4 linked regions of the Drosophila melanogaster genome follow. The protein of the gene in region 1 interacts with the protein of each later gene in a pairwise test. Each region holds a gene or a part of one and is shown in the gene's direction. Other genes may lie near its edges. The genes, in order: Inx7, Trim9, whe and knrl.

The links.
Region 2: the proteins of Inx7 (region 1) and Trim9 interact in a two-hybrid assay, tested with the Drosophila melanogaster proteins (one large-scale study listed by BioGRID).
Region 3: the proteins of Inx7 (region 1) and whe interact in a two-hybrid assay, tested with the Drosophila melanogaster proteins (one large-scale study listed by BioGRID).
Region 4: the proteins of Inx7 (region 1) and knrl interact in a two-hybrid assay, tested with the Drosophila melanogaster proteins (one large-scale study listed by BioGRID).

What each region holds. Positions count from the first base shown.
Region 1 is NC_004354.4:6,991,060-6,995,337, reverse strand, and holds Inx7 (innexin 7), read left to right. Parts: upstream 1-1,725; 5' UTR 1,726-1,924; coding exon 1,925-2,158; intron 2,159-2,455; coding exon 2,456-3,165; intron 3,166-3,235; coding exon 3,236-3,608; 3' UTR 3,609-3,726; downstream 3,727-4,278. UniProt on the Drosophila melanogaster protein: Structural components of the gap junctions.
Region 2 is NT_033779.5:10,543,273-10,547,895, forward strand, and holds the start of Trim9 (tripartite motif containing 9), read left to right. Parts: upstream 1-1,610; 5' UTR 1,611-2,131; coding exon 2,132-3,028; intron 3,029-4,623. UniProt on the Drosophila melanogaster protein: E3 ubiquitin-protein ligase activity. During embryonic and larval development, regulates the pattern of axonal projections of class IV nociceptive sensory neurons (C4da) downstream of netrin receptor fra.
Region 3 is NC_004354.4:21,401,823-21,404,611, reverse strand, and holds whe (what else), read left to right. Parts: upstream 1-1,839; 5' UTR 1,840-1,894; coding exon 1,895-2,152; 3' UTR 2,153-2,273; downstream 2,274-2,789.
Region 4 is NT_037436.4:20,617,615-20,622,319, reverse strand, and holds the start of knrl (knirps-like), read left to right. Parts: upstream 1-1,660; 5' UTR 1,661-2,578; intron 2,579-4,705.

The sequences.
Region 1 (4,278 bases):
CATGGCCTATCAGTTTATATCAAAATCTGGGCTATGCCAATAAAGCAATGCGATTGTTATTTGAACATGAATCAATGAACTTTCGTCAACTGGGAGGCGTAAGCAAAAGCAAAAGTAGTAGCCGTAATCATAGCAATTTCCTGGGAAACCCAAGTAGAGGTAAATTCGAGCAGTCAACCGGCTAAAAATGTTGCAATTACTAATATAGTTAACTGGTCTCTAGTTACGCACGACTTATAAATGTTATATGTACGTATGTAAAGGGGCCATTTTTGACTATCTTATCCGGCAAAGTTTTGGAGCGGCCACTTGAGCGCTTAAGTAATAAGCACCAAAATACAATGCCTAGGCGAGCTATTTAGATAAGCAACAGATATATGTAGATACTTATGAGCTGATAGTGCGAATCTCTGTTGGAATTCCGTTACATTCTAGAAAGTAAGTAAGCCAGTCACTCGTTGTCTTTTCTGGGGATTGACTGGAAGATAAGATTGTCGGGGCCAAAGAATGAAATACAATAGTGCGCAGGGTGAATATCCACCTGATTGCCTTGCGTGGAACCTTGCAACGATATCGCCAAAAAGGCAAACAGCCGAGCAATAATCCATCTTAAGAAGAAGAGTCTCAGTAAGTATGTACATAGCCCTCTGTCTAGCACTGATCTGGGTCAATACGATAACGCCAAGCCGATATATGTCCGCTTATCCAATTACTGTCCCATCCATCAGAATAGGCAGTATTGAATCAATATGGGTGGCGATAGCGGCACGCTTTAAGACCCGGAGAGTTCCAGATTACGGCGGAATTTGCAATTCCACACTTGAATGATTTCAATGCAAGTCTCTATGGTTATTCTTAAAACCAAGTGATCATTTCTTGCATCACTAAGGGATTTTTGCTATGTTTTTGGAAGTGTAACTAATTTGCTGATATCCTGAATCTCTTGAGTCATATATGTACATATATATTTTCCCGCACTGATTCATATTTCCTATGATTGTTTGCTTGGTTATCTTGGCCTCTTTGCTCTTGGATCTTGGATGAATTTCGATGGGTGGGAAGTTACTCACCCACCCACCAGGGCGAGATTTAGCCAACTTACCGATGAGGTAAACCCTGAGAAAATGAGTATTATTTTCATAATTTCTTTCGCTCTTTCTGTGACTTTCGTCTTATCATTTTCGGATTCTTATGAAGCCACGAGCCGAATACATGCCGAAGTACTCATGTTTGGGCGAAATTTGAAATATGACCGAAAAACTTCGGAGTTTTCTTGGGTATCAAGAGAGCCCTACACTGAAAGAATTAAATTGCTAACATTTTAGACTGAAACCTAAGTGACAAAGATTGTGCCCCTCTCTCAGCTTATACTGCGAGTCAGAAGCTGAAAAAAATTTCTTTTTTTTTTCTCATAGTCCAATAGTCTACGTAAGTCCTGCTAAGTGTAGCGCACTCCAGTAGGTTCTCATATTTCCCTTACTCTTTTCTTGGACAACTCTGAACTAAACACAATACCATTGCTGATTCGGCATTTCCGTGTATTTCTGCCCGACGAAGTTATCTTATCGGGCCCGGGCGACTCTCCTGGCCAAAAATGAGCGGTCGATAAGGCGCCAGAAAGCCCTCTCCGACGAATGTGGAATGGTGATGAAGATCGGCGAACGGGGACCGGAGACCGGAGACCGAAGGTTCCGAGACCCGGAGACCAAGTGCAGAGTCTCGAGCCTTGCAGTTACGAGGAGCTAGCCGCGGCAAGCGGAGCGCACAAATCCATCCGAACCCAGAAGCCAGCCCGTTTCCAATTGCCACCCAGCCATAGTTGTCGTAATCATCGTAAGAAAGTGAACGAAGTAGAAGTGGGATCGGATCGGATCGGATCGGGGCCAGAACCTAACCCAAAACCGAAGATAACGAAGGCGTTACAATGCTGAACACCTTCAGTTCGGTGAGGCAGTACCTCAAGTTCGATCTCACGCGTGTGGTCATCGACAATATAGTGTTCAAGCTGCACTATCGATGGACCTTCGTAATACTCCTAGTGGCCACCCTCCTGATCACGTCGCGCCAGTACATCGGGGAGCACATCCAGTGCCTATCCGACGGTGTTGTGTCTCCGGTCATCAACACCTTCTGCTTCTTCACGCCCACCTTCACAGTGGTAAGTCAGCGGGGTCACAAAGGGAAAATTATAAGAGGTCACCAGGGAATTAAAAAAAATATCTATGTACGGGGTACACAGAAGTATCTATTGAGAGCAACTGTTATCAATACTCTATTTGATTATTGGTTAAAACTTAAATAGGGTTAATCGATTTAGAGTCGTTTTATTGCTATTAGTTGGTTGATATATGTTGCCACATACCCATTCCTGAAATGATCAAATGATAGAATAGATTTTATTTATGTGCCTTGGCGGCAGTAGATCATTTATTAACATAGCTTGCACCCCAAATAGGTACGTGACCAGAACCAAACTGCCTACAGGCCGGGAAGTGAGCCACCTGGTATAGGGGCATTCGATCCCGAAAAGGACACGATCAAGCGGCATGCATACTACCAGTGGGTGCCCTTTGTCCTGTTCTTCCAGGCTCTCTGCTTCTACATTCCCCATGCCCTGTGGAAGAGTTGGGAGGGCGGCCGGATCAAGGCCCTGGTCTTTGGCCTTCGAATGGTGGGTCTAACGAGGTACCTGAAGAACGATAGTCTGCGTATCGGCAAGCTGAACATTCCCTCGATGGCGGAGGCGGAGGAGCGGGTCAAGGACATTCGTCGCACAATGATCGACCGGATGCGGCTGAATCAATCGTGGGGTGCCCACTTGGTCTTCGCGGAGGTGCTCAATCTGATTAATCTTCTGCTGCAGATCACATGGACCAACCGTTTTTTGGGCGGTCAATTCCTCACACTGGGACCACATGCCCTGAAAAATCGGTGGTCCGACGAGCTGAGCGTTTTGGATCTAGTATTCCCGAAGATTACCAAGTGCAAGTTCCACAAATTTGGTGACTCTGGCTCCATTCAAATGCACGATGCCCTTTGCGTGATGGCGCTGAACATCATGAACGAGAAGATCTACATTATTCTGTGGTTCTGGTACGCCTTCCTTTTGATTGTTACTGTTCTGGGACTGCTTTGGAGAATTTTAACCCTGTGCTTCTACAGAAAGTGAGTGGATGGATATAGGTGTGAAATATGTTTTCATAATGTGATAACCCTTCTAACCCACTTTAATTAGTGTCACATTTACCCGCTGGTCTCTCTATTGGGCCAAGCCTGGCCAACTGGACGAAAACGAATTATTGGCGGTAATTGATAAGTGTAACTTTTCCAACTGGATGTTCCTTTTCTTCCTGCGCTCCAACCTTTCGGAGTTCCTATTCAAGAAGGTTATCTATCATTTGGCTAGTGAGTTCCCCAATCCCGATCACGATAACGATGTCAATGCCTATCGAGAGGCACCGCCCACGCCCGCTAAGAACCGTTATCCGGAGCTCAGTGGTCTGGATACGATTGATTCACCACTCTTGCACCTTCGACGCAATGGCTCGCCCTCTGCCGGCGGAGCCCAAGGGCCATCGACTTCGGATATGGCAAAGTTACCTGTATAATTTATGCATTTCAATTAACGCTAGGCAATTAATTATTGGAGCTTTGTCTTGTTTACACCTGTTTTTTTTTTATATATATATATGATCATTTCATTATAAATATATTTATTATTAAGAGACTCGGCTTTCAGCTTTATCCAACAGGTTTTTTTCGGGGCTCACATAAAGCAAAATCTCTCAAAATGGCCGACAGAAAAACAGTTATTTTGTGTGAGGTATTTTGAAAAAAAAAGTGGGTAAAAAGCACAACAAAACCAAAACCGACCAGACACCTTTCGGAGGGGCGTGTGGGCGTGGCCGACAGTTTGTGTCGAGTGGCGACTGCGGTTGGGTGACCCAGTTCGAGTGATCCGTTGTGGTTTCGAAAGTGTTTGTTACTGAGCTGCAGTGTTCAGTTCAGAGCTGGGTCACAGTTTGTACCCTCCCATCTGACTGTGAAGTTTCAATAGATGTGCATGACGGTATCCCCGATTACGGACGGTTCTCCAGGTGAGTTATTGCTACTGTAAGTTTTATATATTTTCTATGGTTTTGGGAAGTTTAAGTGGTTTTCATCGAAAACATCCAGAGATAGGAGGAACTCAACTTCTGAAGTCAACGCTTCCAGCTGCATTAAGACATTTACACATGCCGCTCTGTCATAACCAAGTCCATATTTGGACCGATTTCC
Region 2 (4,623 bases), on another chromosome or scaffold:
GGCTTCGGTGCGGCATTCAGGTGGGGAGCCACTTAACACCTCCCGATTCCAAATCCAGATCAAATACTCCAGCAGGAACGTGGCTTATTAAGTCGAACGGATTACGCACTGCTCTGGGTGGGGATATGCTTGAATTGGGAAAGGGGGGAGTCAGGCACTTTCCACGCCGCACGATTTTCTTGCTACGTTCTCCATCATTTTCCTTAACCGTGCTGTATAGCGTGCACTCAAAAAAATATCTGTAAAATATCAGAATACTTTAAACAATTTTTGTGTTAGCACCATTTGAAAAACCCTTTGTTAAATTTAAAATGAATCAAATATAGTATATGAAATAGTATTATTACTTTCCTAAGGTATACATACTGAAGAAAGCTATTTATTTATTTAACACCATCATGCTAACGATTTTCTCTCTGTGTAGATAAACATCTAGAGCAGGTCACCTATTTGTATTTAGCTTTCCGATATCGAATGTCAGTTACCGTGGGGAATTCTTCACCATCCTCAATCGCTAGCTCTCGATTTCCCGCTCGGTTGGCCGCTCCGGTGTCAAAACAAACTGGAAAACGGTCTGAAACAGAGTCCGATTTTAAATCAGTCAAACAAACAGCGTGGTCCAATAATATTTGTAGATCGTAGAATCGACGTAGCTGACACCTCCATTGGGGAATGAGCGATGTAGTACATACCTTCATATAAGCACTTGGTACTAGGAATGTCGCCATGTGCACGAGTGGGTCGGTGGCCGGTCGGGGCTTATCAGTGGTGCAGTGGTATAGTGGTGCACTGGTGGCACCGACATTACCTGCTCACTTACCTGAGCCACTTACAGTGGTGGTACTCCAATTAATAGCTCTTCAAGTCCAAGTCAAAGTTGACAAATAGTTTGGTCAGTCGTGAGGTTCCTTGCCAAACTTTTGCTGCTGCTTGGAACTTTGTTATTAAAAGTTGGTACAATTATTATATAACTACAATATTATAAAAATATCACAAACTTTATTTATTCTTAAAAAGAATAATTGTTAGTTGCTATTACTTCTGCAGCTGGTGTAAAACAAACGTATTGTACTGATAAAGGTTTATCATATTATATAGCTTTAGTTCAATCTCACGATAAGGCAATTCGTGCATTACGATAGAAAATGCGATAGTGAAATTGAACGCATATTTGTTTTTAATGCTTTGTTGAAATATTTTTATTTATTATTATATTATTTTTAATATCCTTATATCAAATTCTTAATTTCCAGTGCTTACTCAGAAAATTATTCTTAAGCAGTCGCTCTCAAACTGTAGTCAAACTGTCAAGTTAGAATGTTCGAATCGAGCCAGCTCATGTTCGAATCGAACTTCAGTCAACAAATAACAACTAACTCACATGACAAATAAAAAACAATAAAAAAAACAAAAAAAAAAATAATAATAATTTTATTTTACGTTTATACGTTTTACAATAATTATTTTTGCGTATGTTTCAGCGGTTATTAGACAATAGTTTAATTTCATTCGAACTTGAAGAAGTTCGGTATGAAGAAGTTGGTTCGCTCAGTCGAACGCATTCGAGTTCGAATTGAAACCTCGACTGCGGAAGCAAGTTATTCCACTGCCAGTCGTTCAAAAATCTCAAGCGGATCGGTCGTGTTGCGGATGCCCAAAATCGAAATTGGTCGCGTTCAAAAGTTAGGCGCGTAATCAAAGTGGCAAGAAAGTTGAATAGAAAGAAAACAAACTGCAAAATATATATATAAAAAAAAACAAAGGACATTTTTAACAAAATTTGTGAAAAGTGAATTTTCCAAGGACTTGAAATTGAATTCAAAGTGAAGATTGGTAAAAAGTGTGGTACTGTTGAGATACCAAAAACTACGAACTAAACAAAAATTGCGCAAGTTTCAAATGTGGAAAACAATTTATGATTTGGTTTTAACGCACAAGTTGTAAACAAGAAACAGGATTTTAAACGCGATTTTATTAAAGTGTAAAGTGAATAATTCGAGGATTACCAAAGACATGTTGTCCCAAAGAGTGCAACCCAACTAAAGCGAGGATAAAACCGATTTAAACAGGACCTCTGACCTCGCCAACTCAATCCGAATCGCATTGCTCTTGCGGATTATAACCACCAGACATGGAGGACGAACTGCGCTGTCCCACGTGCAAGCAGCTGTACGCCAATCCGGTGCTGCTGCCATGTTTCCACGCCCTCTGCCTGGGCTGTGCCCTGGACATCCAGACGCCGTACAGTCCGGGATCGGCTCTACCGGGCGCTGTCAACGGAGCGGGTGCAGCTTCGGCAGCGGGACACAATGGGTTGCATGGCAATGGAGGCGGTGCCGGCGGCGGAGCAGCTGCTCCAGTCACAAATCCCAATGGACCCGGCACACGGCACAGCTCGCACAGCTCCGCTGCCAGCACGGCCAGCTCGAATACCGGAAGCGAGAGCGTCACCTCCGACCAGGATCAGTCGGACAAGGTGAGCATCTTCAGCGAGGCGGACTCGGGCGTGGTCTGCTGCTCGAACACATCGCGTCCGGTGTCCTATGCCGGCACAGGACTGCTGCCAGGAGTGGGCAATGTGGTGGCACCGCCTGGAGCCGCCTACTGTCTCACCTGTCCGCTCTGCCGCAAGCTCGTCTTCTTCGACGACGGAGGCGTTAGGAATCTGCCCACCTACCGCGCCATGGAGGCCATTGTGGATCGCTTTTGCGCCCGCGAGGCCCTCCGCTGCCAGATGTGCGAGACCGATCCCAAGGTCGCTTCCCTGATCTGCGAGCAGTGCGAGATTCGCTACTGCGACGCCTGCCGCGAGTTGACCCACCCCGCCCGCGGACCGCTGGCCAAGCACACGCTGGTCAAGCCGCGCGGCGCCGCCCAGCAGAGGGAGTCCGTCTGCGGGGAGCACGAGGAGACCCTCTCCCAGTACTGCCTCAGCTGCAAGGCTCCCGCCTGCGGACTTTGCATCGGAGAATTGCGCCACCAGGCACACGACGTCCAGTCCATCAACGTCACCTGCAAGGCTCAAAAGGTGAGTTGTGTGATGGGATTTCGATAGTTAAATAGTTGACTTTAATGATTGCGAGTTGCATATGCCATATCAAAACGAGAAACTGCTTGAATCTATACTACAAGTACAAGTATTTATTAAATTAATTTGTTAAATGCACAATATGCTCGAATCCTTCAGTCAATATTGCAGACCATTCTACTAACAGCCAGACAAATACAAATATTTGTTTAATTTATTGGTAAACAAAGTGCTTTTATTTGAAAGACAGAAGAGGGAAGATGTGCTAATTAAAGAAATACCAAATAGGAATTGGTTATTTATGCAAACCAAGTTCAGATCCCAGCAGTTTGTGTAGAGCCAATAAAGGCCAATGATATGACCGTGATGTCCGGAAATTCATTGCCAGGAATCAAAAGAGTCCTTTTTGGGGGGGTCGAAGAAAAATACGGCATTGAGGCAAACTAATTAGGGGCGAAAGTAGGGACCTCATGAAATAAATATGTATTTGCTGGCGAAGGCATCGCATATCCTGGCCACATCCTGGCTTGCTTCCTCCTTTTTAGTTGATTGTATTCCATTTCTACTGTTGCCTTTCGTCTGGCTTTTTTGTGGAAAATTTATGGCTTGTCTTGTGGCCCCGAACATTTTTCATGCAACATTGTTTTGCTGCAAGTATTTGGGAATATTGGTGCTTAAAGCAGCTTGCAAATCAACGAAATTGTATTATGAATGTGGAACTGTAGAAAAGGATAACAACAAGGCTTGAAAAAATACTAAGAATTTTTGTACATTTCACAACTGCAGACAAACATTTTGAAAGGGGTATCTCTGAGTCTGTTAGCCAGTTGAAGTATTTCATTAAAGCAAATTCTTTACAACTTCTACCCACCTTCGTTAGCTTTTGTTTTGACGGAACCTTCCAAGTGCCACAATCTCGCAACTTTGGCACGCTAATTCAGCGATAAGTTTCGTTTTCCTACCTTTTGGAATTTCATTTCACAGAACTTCAGTGGCATTTTTTGTTTTGTTGTTGTTTTTTTTGGCCCTCTCACCTGTCGTTCGCCAGTTGAATTCATGAATTCGCCGTCTGTCGTCGAATCACTGGCAATTGTCAACGGCAGCAATTTTAATATGGCAAATGTTTCGAGTGCCTGCACATCCTGTCATCCAAGGACAACAAACCGACGCCAGCGGAAGAGGACGAACTGCGACAAGGACAGAGCCAAGTGCGAAAAGTGACAAATTGCAGTGGCAGCCAAAACAAAGGATGACAGTGAGGCAGGGAAATCAACTGTCTAGTCAGGTCAAGAAGGATATTATCCGAAGGATAACAAGGCAGAAGGAATAGAAAGCATTTTTTGTATCCCAAAAACAAATGCGCAAAAGTATTTCACAGTCTCTGGTCTCTGGTTTAACCTGTAATCTAACTAAGAATCTCAAGCAGGATTTCCAGCAGAAGTGGGCTATTAGATACATATAAATAGGTTAAAAAAACATTACTATTTCGATAGTACATTTGATAGACCCGCACTATAAACTGGAATATTCGAATAGATAAATTTTCCTGCATTTTCACCATATTTCATAATTGAAGAGTACGCGCAATGATAACA
Region 3 (2,789 bases), about 14 Mb from region 1:
CAGGCGATCCCATGACCATGCGAACCGGACTTCGACACCAGACACTAAATGCCTCATCAGCATTCCGGTGAGTGTTTATCTGAGGGTGTGAGTGGATTTGCGTTCGGGTTAATCAAAATGTGACCGATGGCAACGACAGCTGACCGCAAATCAAGGGAACGTCCGGGCGGCCAATTACCCCAATAATCAGAACCCGTTGGGAAATCTTTCTAATCGTCCTTGGCAGCAGTCCTGTGGACTGCTACTTGGTATAGATAACTACTAGCTAATAGCTGGCATGTGAAAAATCAGCTAATATCTATATCCGTATCCTTTAAGCTCTCATTAAATTTTTTAGCACACGAATAAGAAATTAAGTTTAGATGAACTGATGGTACAGAAAATGTAATTTATATCTGAAGAGCCATATATCAATCAAGCCATAATTGAAGCGACCGCCAATTCTTGAGGTTATAACGATTATCCTGTTCCCTCCGATTGAACTCAGAAATGAATCCAGACATCTAGAGCTTTGTATCGCATCCTGCGAGTCCCTGTCGTACACCCATGCTCTCCATAAAGCTACCACATAACGGCAGCCACATAGGAAAAGTGGAAAGTGCGGTGCTGAAGTGGAATATCCAGTCCACCGAGCTGGTTTTAGAGCGTCGAAATTGCCTTTTTATTGACAATTCACAGCACGCGCCGTTGAAACAGATCATCAAAGGTTATTACGACTACAGAAAAGGTCCTTTTGTTGCTGTTGTAAATAGATTCATAAGCAACACTACATGCCGGCAATTGCGAGACAGGAAAATAAGCGAAAAGAAATCCTGCGAGTGAAAGTGTTAACACTTAGGGTAAGCTATACACTCGCTGCAAGGATACTATATGTGGATATTCGAGAGTTGGTGCGTGCACTTCTCCGCGGGATAAAGGCAAATTTCAGTCTGAATGTCAAAGTTTGAGCCTGGCAGTACTTTGAAATATTCATAAGAACGAACACTAAGAAAAACAGGGTTAAAGTTAGCTCTCAACTACGATAAATAAAAAAATGTATGCTGGCTAAAAAAAAGAGCACGAAATAACGAAATTTAATGCAAGGTCCTGAAAATAGGCTCGTGTTGCAAAAAACCGGAAAGCAAGAAGCCGAAGCTCAATGTTGAAACATTTGTTTAGTACCAGAGATATGAATTTCCAAGTAGAACTCACACACGGTCATAAAGCAATAAAGCGGAATCATGTGCAGAAATTTTTATAAGTTAGGTGTATCATCCAAGTGGCAAATGCTCCAGGATCTTAGAAATGCGCGGAGTGTGGGATTTGTGGGGGCGAGACAAGTGCAAGTACTTTCCACTTTTTTTGGCCAAATCCCAGCAAAGAGCTTAAGGTTTCAGCTCAATTGTTTTGCCCGACTTTATTTCATTGCCATTTTTATATTTCCCCATCTTGGGTGTGCCGAGAAAAGCTTTAAGCTAAATCAAAATGCATATTTACGGAAAAGAAAAATCTATGAAACAGAAATCTTATAGTTAGATACTTTGCTAAAATAAAAAAGAAACGAAAAAACCTAAAGCTGTTCCAATAAATCTACATTTTATTCATTAGATCACCCGGAATAGCTTTAGGAAGTAAGTATAAATATAATGAATCTAAAGTTTCACAACCACGAGGTTAGTTTGTTTAATATTTTAAGATCACCAGTTGGCCAAGTATTTCCATTATGAAGGGTTTACACAACTTCACTTGGGTCATCGCTGTTTGCACAATGCTTCTGTTTGTCCATCGAAAACATAGAATTGCAAAACACCTGCAATAGATCCGATTCCGTAGAGATCTCCGAGGTATATATAGGGCTCGGGTGCAGTTGGTGAAGTCAATTGAATTTGCTAAGTCAATCATCTACAAAATCAAAATGCGTGTAATCTTCCTCATCGTTGTGCTCGCCATGGTGGCTCTGGCTGCTGTCCAAGGACGTCGTCCTCCAGGACTTCCGCAGGGAGGTCTGGGACCACTTCAGGGCTCTGGAGGACTCCAGCCGCCGCAGGGAATACCTCAGGGACCTCCCCAGGGACTCCCACAAGGACCTCCCCAAGGTGGCAACTCATCCTCCTCCGAAGACTCTTCCTCCCAGGAGAGCTCCAGCGAGTCCTCCAGTGAGGCGTCCGCCTAGAAACTCGATCGCCGAGTCCTTCATGTAAAAACATTCAAAAATCTTTAAATAAAGATATATATTCTGCTTATTTCAATATATAAAACCGTCCACCGATTCCATTAACTGCACCGATTTCCATTTCGAACTCCGAGTAATGGTTGCGTTGCTCCTGCCCGAGGAATGGAAATGGAAATGGGCCTGGGTGTGGGTGTGGGGGCGTGTCTCAAATCGGTTGCCTAAATAAGAAATCATTTTATTTGAAAAGTTTCCCTTTGGCACGCCCCCTCCAGCTGCCACCCCACTTTTTGGAAGGCAGAAGACGGCGACGTCTGCGTTTGGCGACACCAGCAACATCGGGCGAAACAAAAGCAACAAGGGCAACAGCGGTACAACAAAGCGAAGACACCAACAATAAGCTGAAGCAGCTGAAGGCGTTAGGAAGTACCCACACGACTTGGAAATACCTATTGTACGTATGAATTAAAAGCAAAAAAGAACAGCATAAAATATTACTTTCAAAGAGCGTAAAGCTACGTAACTAACAAGGCAACTAGATAATAAGCTATTAAGATAACAACTATTTGTTAAATGGCTTTAAATGATTAGGTACAAATCAAAGGATATTTCGAAATGATAATTGTGACAACTGATAAAT
Region 4 (4,705 bases), on another chromosome or scaffold:
AACTATGACAGCTTGACAACTGCCAAACGGGCGAAAAAACTAGTGGAAGATGCAAAAAAAAAGAGGAATTAGATGCAGACCGTTAGAAAAACTCCATCACTCGAGTCTTACGTACTCCCCTCTCTTTCGGAGACACTTAGTCCCTCTCATTCGCACTTTCAGTCGAGATCGCTGGAAGTGGGCAATGTTCGATGGACTTTTGTTGAGTTCAGGGGAGGTGGGTGGTGGGTTAAAACTCCCCGATCGATAGACCACGCCCACTGGCAAGCCGCTAATACGATTTCGATGGATGCGTCTGTGTGAGTGATCGCTCTCATTGATCGCTCTCGTTTGCATGGGTAGCTCTCAGCCAGCTGCTCTGCATTGGTCAGCGAAACGAGAACATATATGCCGGGTATATAACTCGCCCGATGCACGGGAGATGGCCTTATAGTCCGGTCTCGTTTTCGCCCACGGCAAACGGGATCGGCTCGTTTATCTAAAACACCCGACGACGACTGCAGCACGATCCCGTTTTGCGCTGGTGTTAGTGGATTCCGCTCTCATGAGCACGCCGCTCTCTTTACCGGTTGTCTGTGTGAGTATACTGGATATAACGGTGCTCCGATTGTGTTAATCGAGCCAATCAAATGTGGTAACGAATTCTTCGAGTAGATATATTCACGAGAGTGTGTGCCCTGTGAGTGAAGCACTCAAAAGCCGCACAAAATGGTGAGCGATTGAGAAAAACAATCGAGTGCAATATTCAAAGTGAGCAACTGGAAAAATAATGATGTATTTGGAGGCAAATATTGTATATTGTATTGTATCTTATTTTTTTGAACTAATCAAGTATGTTATATTGTTAATTTACTATATACCACATTTGATCAGCTTGCCATAAATATTCCCCAGTTATATAACATTGGACACTAAATCAACAAAACTATGTTCCTTAACAATCGTTAAATTTATTAAATTATATTATATTTATCTAACGAATAAAATTGATTATAAATAAAGTAGAAAAAAGAAAAAGGAAATACTTAAGATTGGTCAAATTAAACAACACGCTAAATAGACTTAGATTACATCTTAAACGACTTATATTTGTTCGCAGTTACTAGGAATTTATTATTATATCTTAACCGAGAAATAAACTGTGCAATTTATATATATATTGCAAACACGACATGCATTTTTTTCTAAATTTGTTGGTGCCTTTTCTATAGTTATAGTTCGTATTTATGTTAGTAATTATACGTTTTTAATATATGTTCATATGCATTTACTCAGTTTCAGCTTGATCTGTGAATACAACTCAATAGCCGAATCGACTCGGATTTGAGTTAACATCACTCAAACAGCGGCTCACACAGACAGGCAATTTGAGTCAAAGTCGCTCTTTTAAGTCTCACTCTCGCTCTCTCTCTCCCTGGTTGTCTTTCGGTTGGGGGTTGAGAGTTCGGGTGTATCACCGTTAGAGAGAATCGGAATCGTCTTCTTCCTCACACACACAATCGCACCCCAGCTGGGCTCGAGTTTGTCGCTTTTGCAGTCTTTTGTTTTTGTTTCGGTTTCTGTTACTGCTTCTTCGACCAGTTTGTAGTTTTTGTTTATAGTAGTATCATCTCCCCGGCCAGAGATATTGTTGTTGCTACTTCTCTGGTAGCCGAAGTCTCAGCTCAGTGTGCTACCGAGCGTTCGTCGGATGATATTGCAAAGCATCTGAGTCGCCGAGTCGCAGCGGTGTGAGCACTTTGCAGAACTGCTTAACATCAGTCTTTAGTGATAGCTCGCGCTTCTTGCTCGCACGCTCGATCGCACGTCGCCGTCGTCGTTGCGTCGTCTTCGTCTTACGTCCCAGGCGTTACGTTGTTTTGGCCGCCGCTAAAAATCAACACATGCAAATTAAGATCAAAAAATTACTCAGTTAAATAAAATGAATTGTAACAATACTACGAATATGTATATGTAGTGCCAACTGAAATAGTAGAGTTCAGTCTGTAACACGTCACTGCAAAAAAACTCAAAAGCGGCAAACGAAAGCGGAAATAAAGAAATTTACGGCAAGTGCGCGTGCGCAGCCAGGAGTGCCCTCACACAAAGGTGTGGTCACTCCATAAAAACTCGCATTCAAAACACAGAAGGCGTAAAAACAGCACCAAATAAAGTCCCACGGAAATATCTCTAGCTAAATTAAAATTTAACCATACTGCAAAACTTTAAAACTTTGTATTACAATAAAAATTATACAAAATATTGCCTCCTTGTGATATATGTACACCCTGCTATATGCAAAAACACACATACTCAAACAACCCAAAAGATATATATTAAACATGCTTCACGCTCGCCTAAAGTTCTAAAAGTCAAGTGCAATTTGAGCAAAAACAGCAACAACTCTATACGCTCAAGTGACGTTTTATTGGCGCAAGGTGAACAAAAAATAATAGCAAGCAAATACACGAAAATACACAAAACCTTAAACGGAAAGTTCACAATGTTAGGAGACGCAGACCTTAAGTGCGCAACGAAATAGAAACACTAAGCAAATAAATTGGATTAACTTGATAGGCTGATCGGTCAGTAAAAGCAGGTAAGTTCAAAGGTTCAATGGCGCCCTCAAAAAAAAATATAGAAGAAACGGAACGAACGGGCTTTTTTGAGACACATCCATCATGCGGACATAAAAATGGGGATAGAGATGGGGCTTCGGAGTTGTAGATGGGGAACATGTGAATTTCATTAACGAATAGAATTCATAAAACAAAAAAAATCAAGATGAAGATGGCGACGCCAGATAACGCTTGACAATCCGACTAACTGACGAACTGTCTACGACTGTCGGCGGGGTTTGTATGATTTAATTATACAAACCATATACACACTCCCCTATATGACACTTATACGACAGCCCAGTAGGAGCTATAGCCCCCAGCTACGGTTTTGTGAGAAAGTTTTCTCTGGCCGATCTTTGTTGACCAGTGCACTTTTTAGTGTGGCCATAAAACATGGCTAGATCAACAACAACAACCATGCAAGGGCAAGGCAAATAAACTTTACGACTATATAACAGAATCAATGTAAGTCAAGTGCGAGCGAGATGGCCTGCACAGATATAGTCGCCGCACATGTTTGCTTTATAATGCAAATAGCGTGTATAGCTTTATTTGCCAGAATATTTGTTACAAAAATTCGAAAACGCAGGCGAAATCCATGGGAATGGCATTAACTGCGGCACTGAAAGAAATTATTGCGCTCAATAGCGAAGGAACTAAATGGAAAGTGGTGCTGCCTAATCCATCAAGGATCAAAAATAATTATTTTGATAAAATAATTCTTAGAATATTCAAGCTGGAAATTTGTGAACATTTTAGTTTGCTTGATGCTGCAGCTTAAATAATAATTTATATAATATTCTATTGATCAATGAGAAATGCCTATCATCTAACTATATTTACAAAGAAGTGACTTTTCAATTAGAAATAAAGTGATCATTCATTTTTGGAAATTCAGAAGATTTGTATCTAAAAAACTGATAATTTTTTAAAGTGCATTTTGCCCTGACTCGCTTGCAGGCAAATGAAGAATCTAACTTGGATTGCTTTTGCATGTGTCGCAAATATTGGCAGAACCTATATACTCGCACTTATGGCGAGTGCCTTGTAAGTTTGCCATGTTCTACAAATCGCAGAGTGCGCACTTATTCTAGTTAGCTGGGGCAATCTTCTTCACTGGTTGATTTAGCTGGCACCTTTTAAGATCACAGCTCTTTCCTGAGGCTGTTCCTTAGACCAACACTCTAAAAAAAGGTATGCACCTAATGCAAAATTGGATATTTGGATATTATTATATTACACTGAAGTCCCAACGATTTAGTACAAATTAAGGAAACTTAGAATATTATCCATATACTTAAACTATCCTTTCAATTTTTTACACGGTATAAAGATAATTTCTATGTTTAAATTATCTGCAATTGTGCAATTGTATAGAGTTTCAGATAGTTCCCTTTATTGTAACACAATTGTAAAAGTGTATCTCGGACGGATGACTGACAGAAGTGGCTGGGAAATTAACACATCAAGGTCGTGTGCTGACTTTAACAGTCCACATCCTTAAGGGGCCCGAGTCCCAGGCCGGAAAAGCCAAAGGAGAGCAGAAAGGGGGCGCAATGTGTGAAAGTATTTAGTGCGGACGCGTTAACAGTGGCAGGAAAACAAGCATACAAAATATCAAATGCAAATGTGGCAAGCAGGCCGCAAGGTTTCAAGACAAACGGCAAGCAGCAAACACCTGTTGTCAGTTAACATGCCTCCTCGCTGCGAGGGGCGGGTGGTGGGGATCCGACCTGGCCGAGTCTTCTGCCCAGAAGTGGGTCCCCATGCGAGGTGACTCACGGAGCTGTTCTCGGGGTTCTTCTTGAGAGCCGCTGATGTGAGGCAGCTGATTGTCTTCGTCGTTCGTTTTTAGGTGCAGCTATGCAGCCCAGTTCCGCCAGCATTTGCATCGCGATATATAATGATATTACTATGGTTATTATTATTATTAGCTGGCAGCTTGGTTAAATGTCAGAGTACCAAACGGATTAGGAGCTATTCTTCAATCAGTTTAAGGCAAAAGCTCGATTAAACAAGTGCAGATCAAATATCAGGGATATTGACCCACCTTTGGAATAACCTGATCATATAATAAGTAGTACCAAGCCATTTAGAGGTCATTA